Alligator mississippiensis: one gene and its partner. The protein of the gene in region 1 interacts with the protein of each later gene in a biochemical or structural test. Links are inferred from orthologs where the notes say so. Each region holds a gene or a part of one and is shown on either strand. Other genes may lie near its edges.

Region 1 (7,951 bases):
GCACATATACCATCTGATGTTACCCAGCTTCCCAAGTAGTTTAATTTATTGACTGCCTTATCTGTTCCTTATCCACTTTGATGTTGCATACTGGAATGATCTTTGTAATTACCATGCATATTGTTTTGCTATAGTTAATACCTAGACCCTTCTTTTCGCTTTTGCTCACAATTTTATTTAACAATTTGAGATAAAATTGCTAGGTTCGATAAAATGTGTGTGTATAGGTATCTATTGAACACAATGTTTTATTGATATATTTACAGTTTAAAGCAATTTGGAAGCCTACCAGTGCCTCAGAAGTATAATAAAATAAATTCTAAATACCTATATATTTTGTCATTTGATTTGGGTTTTTTTATCATAGAATACCAGAGCTCCCCCCTACCCCCTTTGCTCACCAGGGCATGGGTCCAGCTGCACCTGCCCCCTCCCTCCCTGCTTCATGGTGCTGAGCAGCCCTGATATGTCCCTGCCAACGCTTTTGCCCCTCATTTCCAACCCACAGCCCTGCCACCTCAGCCCTGTTGGTGCCTCTCACTCCTAACCCACACTCCCCCATTTAGCAGCTTACCTGCTGTTGTCTGTAACTGTTATCTTCAACAGTTCTGTTGTTGCATGGGTTTTGTTTTATTTTATCAGTGTATTAAACTAGCCTCTCCAAGATAGAGCTGCATAACTCCACTTTGTCACTACCTGTATTTTCTCATACACTGGAAAGGGAGGGTTGTTCTAATGACTAAAACACCTGCTGACTTAGAATTGTATTTCATTAGGCTATGAAGAGACAGGTTGTATATAACAAAAATCATGCTTTTATTTTTTAACATTATTAAAAGCATCCCTTGTACATCTGAGAGACTGGACTGTCCTCCCATCCTCTTTACACTTAAGATGAGCCCATCTTAAGACATGCAGATACTCCTTTGGCTATTGGGTTACAAAGGGTTTTTGTACTGCTGCTCCATGATTCATAAGAGTGTCGTTCTCCCTACCTTCTCCAGTATGTCTGCCCTGCTTTAACCTTATTATTTAGCTCAAGAATTTGACACAGGATTTGTCTTGGAATTCATTCCACTGACCATAATAGGATTTGGATTTATTGATGTACATGAGCTACCCAGTTTAATAAATCAGATTAAGATGACTCACGGATTCTACCACCAAATCCATGCACTGAAATGTGTACAAGTTCTTAAAAAAAATGGGAGAACCAAAGTAGGTACTGGACCTTTCAGTTTAATTTGGTTGCATCTGCAAGGTGAATACTACCTACCTAAAAAAAACCCTGTAAATAGCTAGTTCAATATAGCTATAGTTCATTCAGAGCTATTACATTATCACTTCATATTTTCTGTACAATTTTTATATTTTTTTACAGAATAAAAATATATTTTACCAGAAATGTAATCTAAAATATGTATATTGATTTACATAAGGCTATTATTTGTTCACAGCTCCTTCAAACTTCAATGTTAAAAGAGCTATAGTCCTCTTAACCATATTTTTCCTATTCCTTTTTTAAAAAGCTCACACGCCATTCATTGTCTACACACATTTCAAAAAATTATCTGTAATACTGAGTGTTTCATTACTAGTTTATTCTTTCTTAAAAGAGTATTTGAATTAGCCATGTTTCAGGAAAATGTTTTTCCCTGGTCCTGTATTCCCTTCCACTGAACAAAATTAAGTGTTTTATGCGATTAAAAATAAAACACTAGGAAGCACACTTCAAAAATAATCAACATAATTATTTGACTACTTTGGCACCAACTTTAAAAAAAATCTGTAGATGAAAAATATTTCAGGGCAAATAAAGGGAAAGGTTAGTATTTTTCATAAGCCAATAGATGTCAGTTCCAAGCTAAGGATATTTCCATTTTATATCATGCAAAATAAAAAAAACTGGGTAATTTGTTGATTTTTATGCTATAAGCTAAAGACTAGCTTTTGTACAAATATATGTTAACAAAAAATATGGATCAGTGTCTAAAGTCAAATCTTCTGGTTACACTCCAGTATTGTAAACATGAATGTATGCAGTGTTGTTTCTCAAGAAGAGAAAGAAAGAAAGAAATCAAAGTTGTATCCTAAAGGATTAGGTTACCTATTTTTCATATGTGCTGATGCCCCAGACCTGGGTCTTCCTTTCCCATTGGTTTCATCCTTTCAGGAAGGTCTTCATCTGATTTTGTTTTTCAGGTTCAGTGGAGTCCTCATGGACTCTTTACTCTTTGTGTTTGTGTCATAGATTTGAGGAGATATTTGTTGGTTTGTTTGTTTTTTGGGGGGCTTTTTCAAGAGAGGGAGTATGTCCCCACTTTTATTTGAGGAATGTCTCAAGCTGATTGTTTTCCATGCATGAGAAACCTGTGAAATGACATATTTTAAGAAGTAATTACAATGTTTAAGGGGGTGCTGTTTTCAAGCATATCCATAGAATATCCTGAAAAACGTACTTTGTTTCAGAGTTAGGAAATTTTAACACAAGCTAATATTTCACTGCTATACTCAAAAAACAAAGAACACCTGATAACTGAAATCAGTGGGCTTTTCTACTCAAAAATCATGTCTTGATATTTGTAAGATGATGAGAGAATCTCTGCTTCACAACTCTTGAGCTTGGTGAATTGTATCTCCCCTTATGCTGGAAGCTTCAGAACAGAAGAAGAAATTTTGATACGGTATTTTTCAAGAAAAGCAGAGAGGCAATTTTCCAAAACAAGTGAAGAACATTTGGCTTCAGAGGGAAAGCAGAAGACAGAGACATTTATCAGGATAGGTAATTCCATCCTTCCTCCTTCCATGTTCAATATTGATGCATCTAGCAGAACTGAGAACTCAATGCATAACCTGTAAAGCAGGTTTCTTTTCAAAGGCTTCTTATTTAGGAGTGTGGTGGGAATGATACCAGAATGAGAGAAGTACAAGAAGTGTGTTGAGTAGGGAGTGGAGAGAGAGAAATAGGTAGCTGGGTAAATGGCAGTCACAAAAGTAGAACTGCATTGTGGGAGATACATATAGCTGTACTGTAGCTATGTTTATTTTAGGCTAGCAGTAAGACTTTAGTCCTACTTTCTGTTTTGCCTGTTGGGTTACAAAACTTTCTATGGTACTGCTCCATGATTCATTTGCTTTTATTTGTGGGGGACTCCCTTGGGACCACGCAGCAGGTGCTTAGTAGGGGGAGCAGGCTCTATCCACACAGTAGATGTGACTTCAGAAAATCCAGATTATTTTATTGGAATGACAATAGATACAAATATTGTCAAAACATTAAAGAAAAACAGACAATTCTCTCTCCATCAGGGCAGATAGATTATTCTGATGATGTAATCTCATGCTCACTTGCTACATTTGTTCATTTCTGTATAGTGTTCCCTTGTTACCATTCGATGACATCAGCAGACATTTATGACTGAGAAAATCTCTCATTGCCCCCACTAACCTGAAAGAGGAATAAAAACTCCATTTCAAATCTTTCACTGTCGTGTTGGCCACCTAATCCTTCCATTCAATTTGTATGCCTTCCCTCTTCTACTTAGGGATTATCATGCATTTGGGAAGTCACACTTCACTTCTGCATTTTACTGCATGGGGGGGGCACCCCCATCATGGTTATGCTGCTCTCCTGCTGATGGAGGCTTGCCCTTGTATTCTTCCCAGTGCTTGAAATAATCAGGCCCTTGGGCGTTGGGCTGGTGTTGTTAGCATTGGATGTAGGCCTTGTGTGACCAAAGGTACAGGAACAGAGTACGCTGGTAACCCTGAATTTTTTTTCAGTGACTGCAGCTACTCTCTGACCGAGGGGGTTTCTTGATCACAGGCAACAGGTGGCGCCACAACCCGCGTCGCAGGCGGCTCGCCCGCGGGAGGACAGTTCTCCCGCTTGGCAGCAGCTTTCAGAAATTTCATTCCACATTTTCACCGAGGTGCAGCGGGGCCCGGAGGCAGCCTGGCTCTTCGGCTCTGACCGGCGGGGAGGCAGGAGTTCACCTTCCTCCTGGCTGCAGATGAGGCAGGAGTGGGCCCTTGTTGTCCCACAGCCCAGCTGCCGCTTCTGCCACATCCAAGCCTCCTCCTGGAGCCCGAAAAGCCGCACCGAGGCGCGTAGGGCTGGGCAGAGGCACTTGTGTTTCGCTGGGGGAAGCCACGGGGAGCAATTCCGGGTGCTGCTGCCTGTGGCCACCGGCGCCCCCGCGCCGAAGAGCTTCCCCAAGAAGTTGCCCCAAGCGGCCTCCTCAGCCCCGGGACCAGCGGGCCGGCGGATCCCGCTGCCTCCCTCACAACTCCCCCTGCACGGGGCGCGCGCCACAACCCGCACCGCCCCGCGAGCCACCTCCTGCGGCCCCGGGCCAGGGCCGAGCTCCCCCCCAGTCGGGGGAGGGGGCCCGCAGCGGGCAGGGGGGACCACGTGACCCGAGAAAGTAGTTCCGAGTTGGCAGCGAGAGTATCCCTCCGCCGGCCTGCGGCCTGCTCCTGTGACCCCCAACACTCCCCTCAGGAGAACTCTCTATCCTTGCCCCGCAGCGCCCCAGCCCCACGGCGTAGGGGCCCGCAGCGAGCAGCGGGGCAGGGGGGGCGGCGCGTCGTGGGGGCGGGCGGCCGCGGAGCGATGATGTGGCGGGACTACTTTGCGGCGGAGGGGGCGGGGGCGGTGCCAGTGGAGCGAAGCTGTTCGGCGGCCGGTCCCTCCGCGGCGCAGCAGCCATGATGGAGGCTTGAGGCGCTCGGAGCTGCCGCGCGCGGGGAGGCCGCAACCATGAGACGGGCCCGGCTGGGGCCCCGCGCGCAGCCCAGGTCTTGAGCGCGCTGCTTTGCGTCTCCCACCGACCCCGCGCGGGGCTCGGTCGCCTGTCGCCCGCCCCCCGCCCGCCGGTGCGCGGCCCTGAGCGCGGGGCCGCCGCCGCCCCGGGCGGGAGCGGGGCCCGGCCGCTGTCACCATTTCTGGGGCGCGGAGCGCTGGAGGGCGCCTCTCCCCGCCTCCGCCTCACTCGCCTCAAAGACGGCGGCGGCGGCGGCGCAGCCCGGGACTCGGCCGCACGCTGAACCCCTCCGCGGCCGCCGCCGCCGCCCCGGGCCCGGCCCCCGCTCCCGCTCCGCCCGGGGCCGCGCGGGGAGGGGGCAGCAGCCGCCGCCGCCGGGAGCCGCAGCAGCAGCAGCAGGGGGAGGGGGGCCCGCCGCTGCCCCGGGGCCCGGCCGCCTGCGGGCCTCGGGCTGAGCCGCGCGGGCCGCCCCCCCGCTCCGCCGTCCAGAGCCCCGCGGCCGCCGCCGCCCCGAGGTTCGGGGGAGCCGCCTCGGCCCAGCCCCGAGCCCTGTGCGCCCTGCCGCCGCCGCCGCTGCCCTGCCTGCCCGCGCGGCTCCTCGGCGGCCCCCGGCTCCCAGACATGACCGCCATCATCAAAGAGATCGTCAGCAGGAACAAAAGGCGATACCAGGAGGATGGCTTCGACTTGGACCTGACCTGTATCCTGCAGCGGGCTCCTGCCCCCCGGCGCTGCCCGGGCCCGAGCGCGCTGGAGTGCCGACTCCGCGGCCCTTCCCGCCGGGGCCTCGCGCTGACACGGAGCCGGCCCGGCCAAGCCTGCCCCTCCTCGCCTGCCGGGGCCTCTGCGCCCGGGACCGCGCTTGGTCTTTGTGGTGGGGGTGCGGTGCGGTGTGGGGAGCACGGGCTCCTGTGGGACTGAGCAGGGGGGTCTGGGCCTGCCGCGCTGCTGGTCCCGTGCGGGAGAAAACGGGCTGAGAAGTCCTTTGATCCCTGACAGTCATGTCAGGCAGGTTAACGGGGCTTATGTGCAGTAATGGCGATTGCAAAAGATTAACATTAGCGCTCATTTGGAATTGGAGTCTTCTTGCCTGGCCTGCACTGGCACTTACCTTATTTTGGTGTCATGCCTCACTGACACTCCCAGATAATGACTTCGGTGCCCATGCTCAAAGTAATCTTCTGCCTCTCCTTAACTTGTTGGTTGGGTTTAGTTCAGATAGAAGGGGGTTGATTTTTTTTTTTTTAACTGAGCTGTGTACTGTCTTAATTTGGTATCTTAGCTTCTTGAATCAGAAATACCTTTAGCAGATGCATAGCCTTACTTAGTGTTAGTTTGTGTGTGTAAATGGATAGCAAATGGATCCCTTTGATCACATTTCTATTAGTTAAACCTGAGGTTTAACTAAAGATCATAGATGCTTGTGTCCAAATACAAGAAAATAAGCAAATACATTTATCCTTTTAATTTAAAAACAAACTTCAGTGAAAGCTAACATTCTGTAGCCATTGAACTTTACTTCATACTGATCGTTCCTGTAGGTATGAGGCCCCTGTCTTTTTTGCAAATGAGAATAATTAGGTTCTTGTTAACTGAAGCATTGTTTTGGATATATGAAACTGTGAAGAAGAGTTTTTTGCAATATTGGTATGCCATTGGGACTAACCAGTGAAACCATAAAGCGCTAGAACCATATAGTTCTTTTGGCCTGTTAAAGGGATGCATTATGAAAGCATCAGACAGATGTTAGGCTGCCAACATCGTGAAAGGATCTGTCATTTTTCCATCAGAAGTGGAGGTGGTTGCAGATGCTATAGGTTGAACCCACTTTTCACTTTTATCTGTTCTTTAAAATAAAACATCCTTAATGCAAGGATTAGAATTGTAAACATTGAAAATTAGGTTAAGGACCAGAAGTTTAGCTAGTAGTGCTGAATGAGAATATGTTCTGCCTCACAACAAGGACAAGCTGCTTACCGTTTTCTCGGAACATGAGAGAATTAAGTCACAGTTGCAACTACAAATGCGCTTGAGTTCTTGGATATACAGATAGCTAACTGAAAGATTGAATTTGTAATGTTACGTTGATTTAGGACTCAGTCTAAAATGTTGAATACTTAACAGATAAGTGTATTGGCATTGGCAGATGACCCTTAAGGATGTACCTTCCTGATTTTTATTTTATTCTATGAACATATTGACCAAATAATGCTTTATTGTCATTTTAGAGCTGTTTTAAATTCTTCAAAATCTATATTTTGATGACATAACTTGAATAGTAGTAGAAGACTGCATCATCATGCTATAGGTTAGTAGAACATCTGCAGTAATAATATCTGCTCAAACAATATAGCATAAACATCCATGTAATAATATGCCTTATAGCCTAATTCTGTAATTTTGAAAGTTAAGGGTGGGAAGAGAGTAGGGAGGAAAAAAAACTAGGAGCAAGAAAAGAAACCAAATTTTATGCATCTCACTTTTAAAATTTGTCCTTAAAAAGTCTTTTTCAAAGGTGTAATGAGAGTATCTGACAAAACAGAACTTGCATTTATTTATCTATGAATCTAGGTATACTTATTTTTTGTTTCTTGGCAAGGAAATTGTGGGCTATTAATGATTTTGCCTCTTACTTAGCTCAGCATTTGAATGGCATCTTCAGCATTGTTACAGAATTTGTGTGCTCACCCAGAAAAAACCATAAATCTGTTTTTGGGGTTTAAATTGTAAAATGATTTCAATTAAACTTTATTTAGTTACTGTACTTGTAATGAATTAAGTACAGTAGACTTGTACTTTTTAAAAACTACTTTGCAAAGTATTTTTAAAAATGCTTTGCTGAGGAGTTGGTTTTCAATATTAAACGTCATTTTCCTTGTATGTATGTTATTGCAGATTCTGAGCAGTTACTTTATGAAGGAAGAATGCTGTATGTGCCAAATAGCAAAATGTAATTGGATGTACTAGAAAATTAAACCAAGAAAATTGAGGGGTTTTTCTTTATTCTGTAAAACCTAAAGAAGGAAGCCCTTTACAGTTTTTAATGGGATAACTACTCATTATCTAACATCTGGAAGGTATTAAATTGTGCTCTTTTTAGGTAGCTTAACCACTCTTTTCGTGTGTTACTTGTGCACTAAATTCTAAATTAAGTTCCCTGTCATTCCCATCCTCCCCCATCTTAT
Region 2 (7,960 bases), on another chromosome or scaffold:
GAAGGGAGTCCTTGGGCTACACACTAAATAAAGCAACGCCCAAGTTTGCTGATTCTCACTGGCCTCCTTTTGTATCACTCAACAGTTTATGCAAAGAGGCAGAGACTGATTCTTCTGCAGAACTGCAGGCAGAGAGGAGTATCAAGGTCCAAAGCGAGCTGGCTCCTTCCAGAGATCCAGTACACTTCGCAGGTGAAAATCCTGGCTACAAACCCACAGCAAACCGAGCAATGATGGGCTGATACTGAAGCCTGGGATTTGAAGTCGTCTGCACTTACATCTTTTCAAGGTGATGACCTTATACAACTTCAAGCTGATAACATCAAATACTTACGGTGATTATGCACCAGCCATCGCACTGATCTGAATGATATTCACGGTCACGTTATCTCTTTGTAGGGCTACCACGCAACATTAAGATGAAGAAGAGATCTGTGTTGGCCATCTTGACCTAGAATAATAATGTGGTTTTCTCTTGGATAGCACGTGCCTACATACCTTCCAAATATCTAATCTAGTTGTATTGTGTCCAGCCCTACATCTCCTGAGTTGCTTTCATTATCTGCCATTTCAGTTAAAATATATATATATATTTTTTCCCTAAAATAGGATGTTTCAAACTACATTATTGTGTATTTTACTGCTGGCCTCAAACATGCTATCATGTTTGCATTAGCTCCAGAGGACTCTTTCGGGTAAGGGGATGGCGGAAAAATGCTGGAAAGCCAAAACAGAGACTCTGTAATATCCAGCACATGGGCAATGCCGAGACATGGCGGCTGCTCGGAGATTGACTGATCCTCCCTACCACTCGGTGAAATTCTTATCCCGTTCCTCCTCTGTGAAATTTGGGGTCATTTTTAACCCTTGGGAAATAGACCACTTTTAAGAAAATCAAGGGATCAGGGAGTCATCGGGGTGAACAAGGTCATGCATTTACTCAGCCGAGATTGAAACCCAACCCTTTAGCAAAACACGGGCACCATCTTGTAGAGACACGAGGGACCGAATCGGAGACCTCCAGAGTTGAACGGGAGTCTGGTTCTCCAGCTAAGAGCTGAAACCAAGTCCTGTTTTTTGTGGATGCTGCACGGAGCCAGGGCATGAACCGTCCCGACCAGCGGCTTGCAAATGGGCCAGAAGAGCAGCAAAGGCCACGTCGGGTACCGCAGAACCTGTCCCCTGTCTGCGGGAGGCTATGGCTCATTAACAGTGTAAGAGCGCTTGGGGAACTCTCCTATCATAGAGACAGAGAAATAAATAGACCCTGAGAAGCAAGTGCTCTTAATACAAAGCCATCTGGAACCTCCAGCCTGAGCAGTGGGCTACGGCTGCTTTCAAGACTTGAGTTTGTTCTCAGCACCATTTTGTTGAGACAGAAACCCCCCTATCAGCTCCCCAGGGCCTGAGGATGCCGTGTGGGAACTCACTGAAAGTAGGGCAGCTTTCCCTGAGCGAAGCTCAGTGGAAACAGCGCACACACCAACCACGGTGCAGCGTCTCATGAAGGGCAAATGCAGAGCTCCGACTTAACGGAGCAGGAGCCTCGTCCTGGAGGTGGTTGGGCAGGAGCCCTTAAGCAGCTGTCATCCCGTAAGTGCCATGAAAGTCAGCAGGAATTATAGAATCAGAGTCAATGAGGGCTGGAAGGGAGCTCAGGAGATCCCATCTAGTCCAACCCCCTGCTCAAAGCAGGACCAGCCCCAACTACATCATCCCTGCCAGGGCTTTGTCTATCTGCATCTTAAACACCTTCAAGGATGGAGAGTCCACCACTTCTCTGGGCAGCCTTCACCACCCTCCTAGTGAGAAATATCCAACCTCAACTTCCCTTGCTGCGGCTTGAGCCCATTGCTCCTTGTCCTGTCATCTGCCCCCACTGAGACCAGCCCAGCTCCATCCTCTTTGCAACCCCCCTGCAGGGAGCTAAAGGCTGCTATTTAATCCTCCTCGGTCTTCTCTTATGCAATGAGCCCATTTCCCTCAACCACCCCTCAGACGTTCCCCCATTCTTGTTTCAGGGGTGTAGGTTGTAGTCATGTTGGTCTAAGTGGCTCCCAATCTGTGGTACCCGTGCCCCCAGCGGTACGCAGACAACCTGTCAGTGGTACACATTAGCAGATGTATTATAATTACTGTATCTGACAGAAATGTGCTGGAGGTACTTAAAGGCTGAAATGAAAAAGGTGCTGGTGGTATGTAAGGGTGTGTTGTTTTCATTCGGCGGTGCGCAGTCTGTCGGAGTTTGGGAACTGCTGGTGTGAGGACACAGGCAGACCAGGTTCTTTGGGTAAATCCAGTATCTTTTATTAGAGCAACTCAGTTGGAAAAATTCTTCTTCACAAGCTTTCTTTCAGGCACAAACCCCCTTTGTCAGGTGTGTAGGTTGGTCTAAGGACACGGACAGACAAGGTTCTTTGGGTGCAGTTGGTATCTTTTATTAGACCAACTCAAAAATAGTTGGAAAAATTCTTCTTTGCAAGCTTTCAGGCACAACTTTTGGGTAAATCCCATATCTTTTATTAGCCCAACTCAAATAGTTGGAAAAAATTCTTCTTTGCAAGCTTTTGGGCACAAACACCCTTCATGAGGCTGAGGAAGCGTCTGCCTGACAAAGGCAGACAAGGTTCTTTGGGTAAATCTGATTTCTTCTATCAGACCAACTCAAATAGTTGGAAAAATTCTTCTTTGCAAGCTTTTAGGCACAAATACCCTTCATCAGGCTTGCTAAGAAGAATTTTTCCAACTATTTTTTTACTTGTTGTGATAGAAGACATCAGATTTACTTAAAGAACCTAGTCTGCCTTCATCAGGCAGACCCTTCCTCAGCCTCATGACCGGTGTTTGTGCCCGAAAGCATGCAAAGAAGATTTTTTTTCCCAACTACGTGATTTGGTCTGGTAGAGCAGTGTTTTAAGGGGCAAGTACCCCCTAACTTCTGAAAAGTTTAATAACTACCCCAACACTCAATTTTCCAGGGGATTTTATATTTACAGACTATGCGCCATATGTTGGAAGAAGGGCTGTGTATATAAGGCTGTGATATGACAGATGTCTGATCTGGTCTGGATAGGGTTGCCAACCTTTTACACCAGGGGTGCATAACTCAAGTACAGGCAGTCCTCGGACTTACGACACAACTGGTTCCTGAAAACCGCATCTTAAGTCGAAACGTTGCAGCTTGGAACTGATTTCCCCATAGGAAATAATGTTATAAATGGGGGATTGGTTCCTGAACCAAGGCCCGATACCCTATTTTCACCAAAAATACCCCAGAATTTTGTACTTGGTCAATTATAGATGAGTAATATAGCTACATTAATGTATTTCTATTGTAAATAGCAATCATATTGCTTTGGAAGGACTTCTTTGAGGAGACTTTGCTGGACTTTTTGAAGGGTTCTTGGCTGGAGTCTTCTCAGGAGTCTCGGCTGCAGGGTTTTCTGGAGTCCTGTCTGCTTTCTTAAAGAACGTGTCCAAGGAAGTTTGGACAGACGGTCTCCAGGGGGATGAACGGGTCGACCCGGCAACCTTGCTCGCTGGGGTCAGATCAAGCGTTGTAAGTCGAAACGGATGTCATAAAATGGAACAGGGTGTCCATTTATAAATGTTGTCAGTGGGAAACATTGTAACCCAAAGTGTTGCAAGTCAAGGACTGTCTGTATACCTGGGCTAGAGGCGATGCTGCCCAAAGCTAGGAGGCCTGAACGCCAAATTATTACTGGGTAATTTTTTGTCATGGGGAAAAGAGGGCACGAGTGACAGGGAAAGAGGGCAAAGGAGACAACGGCAGGGTGGGGGTATGCGTACCACGGGTTTAGAAACAATGTGCTAGAAGACACGGGATTCACCCAAAGAGCCTCGTGTGCCCACTCTTGTTTAATACCCCCATACCCTGCTCACCCCCTTGCCCCCACCCTCCGCCTCTGCTGCCCCCGGGGACAGCCCCCAGGTGCAGCGCGGTGCCAGCCAGGGGGATGCAATGCAATGCAATGCAATGCAATGCGTGGCGGCTCGCCCAGGCCGGGGGGGTGAAGCCCGCAGGTGCGGGGAATGGGATGCAATGCAATGCAATGCGTGGCGGCTCGCCCAGGCCCGGGGGGTGAAGCCCGCAGGTGCGGGGAATGGGATGCAATGCAATGCGTGGCGGCTCGCCCAGGCCGGGGGGTGAAGCCCGCAGGTGAGGGGAATGGGATGCAATGCAATGCAATGCAATGCGTGGCGGCTCGCCCAGGCCGGGGGGTGAAGCCCGCAGGTGCGGGGAATGGGATGCAATGCAATGCAATGCGTGGCGGCTCGCCCAGGCCCGGGGGGGGTGAAGCCCGCAGGTGCGGGGAATGGGATGCAATGCAATGCGTGGCGGCTCGCCCAGGCCGGGGGGTGAAGCCCGCAGGTGCGGGGAATGGGATGCAATGCAATGCAATGCAATGCGTGGCGGCTCGCCCAGGCCGGGGGGTGAAGCCCGCAGGTGCGGGGAATGGGATGCAATGCAATGCAATGCGTGGCGGCTCGCCCAGGCCCGGGGGGTGAAGCCCGCAGGTGCGGGGAATGGGATGCAATGCAATGCGTGGCGGCTCGCCCAGGCCGGGGGGTGAAGCCCGCAGGTGCGGGGAATGGGATGCAATGCAATGCAATGCAATGCGTGGCGGCTCGCCCAGGCCCGGGGGTGAAGCCCGCAGGTGCGGGGGATGGGATGCAATGCAATGCGTGGCGGCTCGCCCAGGCCCGGGGGTGAGGCCCGCAGGTGCGGGGAATGGGATGCAATGCAATGCAATGCAATGCAATGCAATGCAATGCAATGCAATGCAATGCGTGGCGGCTCGCCCAGGCCCGGGGGTGAAGCCCGCAGGTGCGGGGGATGGGATGCAATGCAATGCGTGGCGGCTCGCCCAGGCCCGGGGGTGAAGCCCGCAGGTGCGGGGCGGTGCGGGGCCCGGCTCCCCCTCCGCAGCTCTGGAAGGTTCCCGTTCGCATGAGGGGGAGGCGCAAAGCCGGCTCGGCCCCCGGCGCCGCTCCGCTGCAATGTCACTCGGCGCCGGCGGCCGCGGGGAGGAGGCGGCGCTGCAGCCGGAGCCGGAGCCGGAGCCGGAGCCGGGCAGCAGCAGCGGCGGCGGCGGTGGTGGTGGTGGCATGGCCCCATCTGCAGCCTCCCGCGCCTAGGCGGGATCGGGATCGGGGTCGGGGTCGGGGTCGGGGCGGCGGAGCCATGGCCAAGGACCAGCTGAAGCCGCGGCTGTGCCACATGCTGAAGGGCGAGCAGGGCTACGGCTTCCACCTGCACGGCGAGAAGGGCAAGAGCGGCCAGTTCATCCGCAAAGTGGAGCCCGGCTCCCCGGCCGAGGCGGCGGCGCTGCGGGCCGGGGACCGCGTCGTGGAGGTCAACGGCGTCAACGTGGACAAGGAGACGCATCACCAGGTGCGGCCCCGGCCCCCGCCCCGGCCCGCACGGGTCTCAGGGCAGCACCCGGACCCAGCCCCGACGTCCCGGGGTCCTCCCAGCCGCCCCTGCCTGCTCACGGACATACCCTGCGGGGCCAGGGCCAGGAGGAGCTGGACTAGAGGTCCAGACAACTGCCCTAAAACCCTGGGGTCCTCCCAGCCAGCCCCCTGCCCGCTCACGTAGATGCCCCGCTGGGCTAGGGCCAGGAAGAGCTGGACAGGAGGTCCGGAGAATTGCACCACAGTCCTGGGGTCCTCCGAACCAGCCCCCTTCCTGCTCACATAGATGCCCCGCTGGGTTAGGGCTAGGAGGAGCTGGACAGGAGGTCCGGAGAATTGCACCACAGTCCTGGGGTCCTCCGAACCAGCTCACATTGATGCCTGGCTGGGCTACGGCCAGGAGGAGCCGGCCAGCAAGTCCCGGGACTTGGTGGGGAGGGCATCAAGGAAGAGGTGCAGGGAGCCTCAGCAGGAGGGTTAGGATGAGGAGACAGGGTGGTTTCTGGCTCTGTTTTTGCGACCGTGGGGCTCCCTGCCTAGCGGGGCAAACCCCTGACCTTTGCAGGGGGCTGGGGAAAGGCTAGGCAAATGTTCAGATGAGGTTCTTTGGGTCAGTCCGAGCTCTTTTATTAGATCAGCTCAAATAGTTGGAAAAAATGTACCGCCCCCGAGGCAAATGTTCGGCGCTTGTTACTAGGGTAAAATGGGGATTTCTGTTGATTGCAGATTGAACTGGACACATAACGGTGGGGACGAGATCTCTTGCTGGCTCGGTGCTGAGCAGTTCTGTGTGGCTATCTGTTTAGGGCAGTAGGGGCTTGAATATATTCGTAGCTTAAAGTATATGGCAGGGACCCCCTGGAAGCGTGCTGCATTTGTCAGGTATTGGTCTGTCTCCTGCATGCTTCAGGGACCGCCCGGGATGACTGGGATAGTGGGCTTCGGTGATGAATTGCTGCTAGTGGGTCCTAGAGGCATGGGTGCTTGATGATCAACTCATTGGCGCAGTGATCTCTCCAGCCAGGGTGCCAGCTGTGAGGTCCTTTTAAGGGTGGCACACAGCGTGGTGCAATATTAGGGGTGCAGACAGCTATGCATGATTCACAAGGTAAACCCAGAGATTTTAAGTAATATCAAAAACGTCCTGCCCTGGTGTGGGCTTTTTTTTTTTTTTTTGCAACTTTTTTTTGGTGGTCAAGAAACAAGTGAAAGCTAAGAGCTGGCATTTTCGGAGGGCCAGGAGTGCCCAGAGTCCAGCAAGGGGCCCTGAGTATAAGGTTGAAAACCGGTGCAGGGCGTTGGAGCAGTTTGTGGTCTCGGTAGTGCTGCAATATGGAGTTGAGCTTGCTGACACCCACACTGGATTTGGCTCTTATTGTTTGTTCATTAGTAAAACAGACCCAGGCGAGCCGAGCACCCTCTGCAAAAGTGAACACGAGCCCTTTCGTTCTGATTTGGAATCGAGTCAGGCTCCATCTCTTCCTCTCTTCTAATTGCTGGGAGGAAAAGGGAGCTCCTGTTACATATGGAGCTGCATTTCCCATCGGAGAAGTGTCAGGGCTCTTCGTATGAAAATCTGATGGGGTGATGATGGGTGATTTAACGTGTCTGAAATGTGTGGGCTTTCTAGTTGCGTGGCGTAAGTGAAACGAGGGGCCTGTCATCTTCTCCATGTTTCCTTCTCCTTGCAAATAGCCCAGCAGATTTCAAAATATTCAGTGTTTCGACAAATAAAGTTAGCATTTGGGATCTCAGCAGGTAGGATGACGTCATGAGGCTGGCAATCCTTATGCTTGAGGACAAAATGCCCAATATTTTCTGGTGCTCCTTGCCCTAAGTGATACCAGGGTGCCGGAATAAAGGGCAATACCAGGGTATTGGACTCCACGGGTTTTCCCATTCTCTTCAGCACAGTGGCCTTTGAGCTAATAACCCTTTTACCTCTAGCACTGAAATGACCCGTAGCAAAGATCCTTAGTCTGTTCACGGTTGTTGCAAGCTCGGGAAGTTGACGTTTTTGGACATTTTCATGGTGTTTGTTTGTTTCCCTGACTTCTGGTTTGTTTTTTTTTCCTCCTAAATGCAAACAAGCTGCAAAGCTAAATGTGGAAGGTCTGTTCAAGGCACCACGCTCCTATCTTGGCATCCTCCTCCTCAGTATTTGTGACTAGGCAGGAAAATGAATGTGTGCTGGTTAACGCTGCACAACTATAAGGCCGCTGCCTAAACCACCCTTGATGAGAGCTATAACTATGGGGAAAAATCCATTTTACAATTGGCTGGGCTGAAGCATAATTTACGGGCAGAAAGTGGCCTTTACTAATGTGGGAGAATCGCTCAGCTTTGGTTCTCTTTGCTTAGCAATGGAAGTGCTTTTGTTGCAGAGCTGGTGCAGTTACTTCTGTTCTGTCTTCCTTCGGCTGCGTCCACATTTCGGGGGAAAGGTGTGTTTCTTTATGTGCAGTATTGGCTAGCCCAGGTTAAAGTCCTAGCGTGGACAAGGCAGGTTGCAGTTGTAACA

What was found.
Region 2: the proteins of PTEN (region 1) and NHERF2 form a complex in vitro, tested with the Homo sapiens proteins (2 studies listed by BioGRID and IntAct, with this or other methods). The link is inferred for Alligator mississippiensis from reciprocal best matches to the Homo sapiens genes PTEN and NHERF2.

Annotation. Positions count from the first base shown.
Region 1 is NC_081829.1:65,952,779-65,960,729, forward strand, and holds the start of PTEN (phosphatidylinositol 3,4,5-trisphosphate 3-phosphatase and dual-specificity protein phosphatase PTEN), read left to right. Parts: upstream 1-4,905; 5' UTR 4,906-5,387; coding exon 5,388-5,466; intron 5,467-7,951. UniProt on the Homo sapiens protein: Dual-specificity protein phosphatase, dephosphorylating tyrosine-, serine- and threonine-phosphorylated proteins.
Region 2 is NC_081836.1:57,476,738-57,484,697, forward strand, and holds the start of NHERF2 (Na(+)/H(+) exchange regulatory cofactor NHE-RF2), read left to right. Parts: upstream 1-4,955; 5' UTR 4,956-4,972; coding exon 4,973-5,416; intron 5,417-7,960.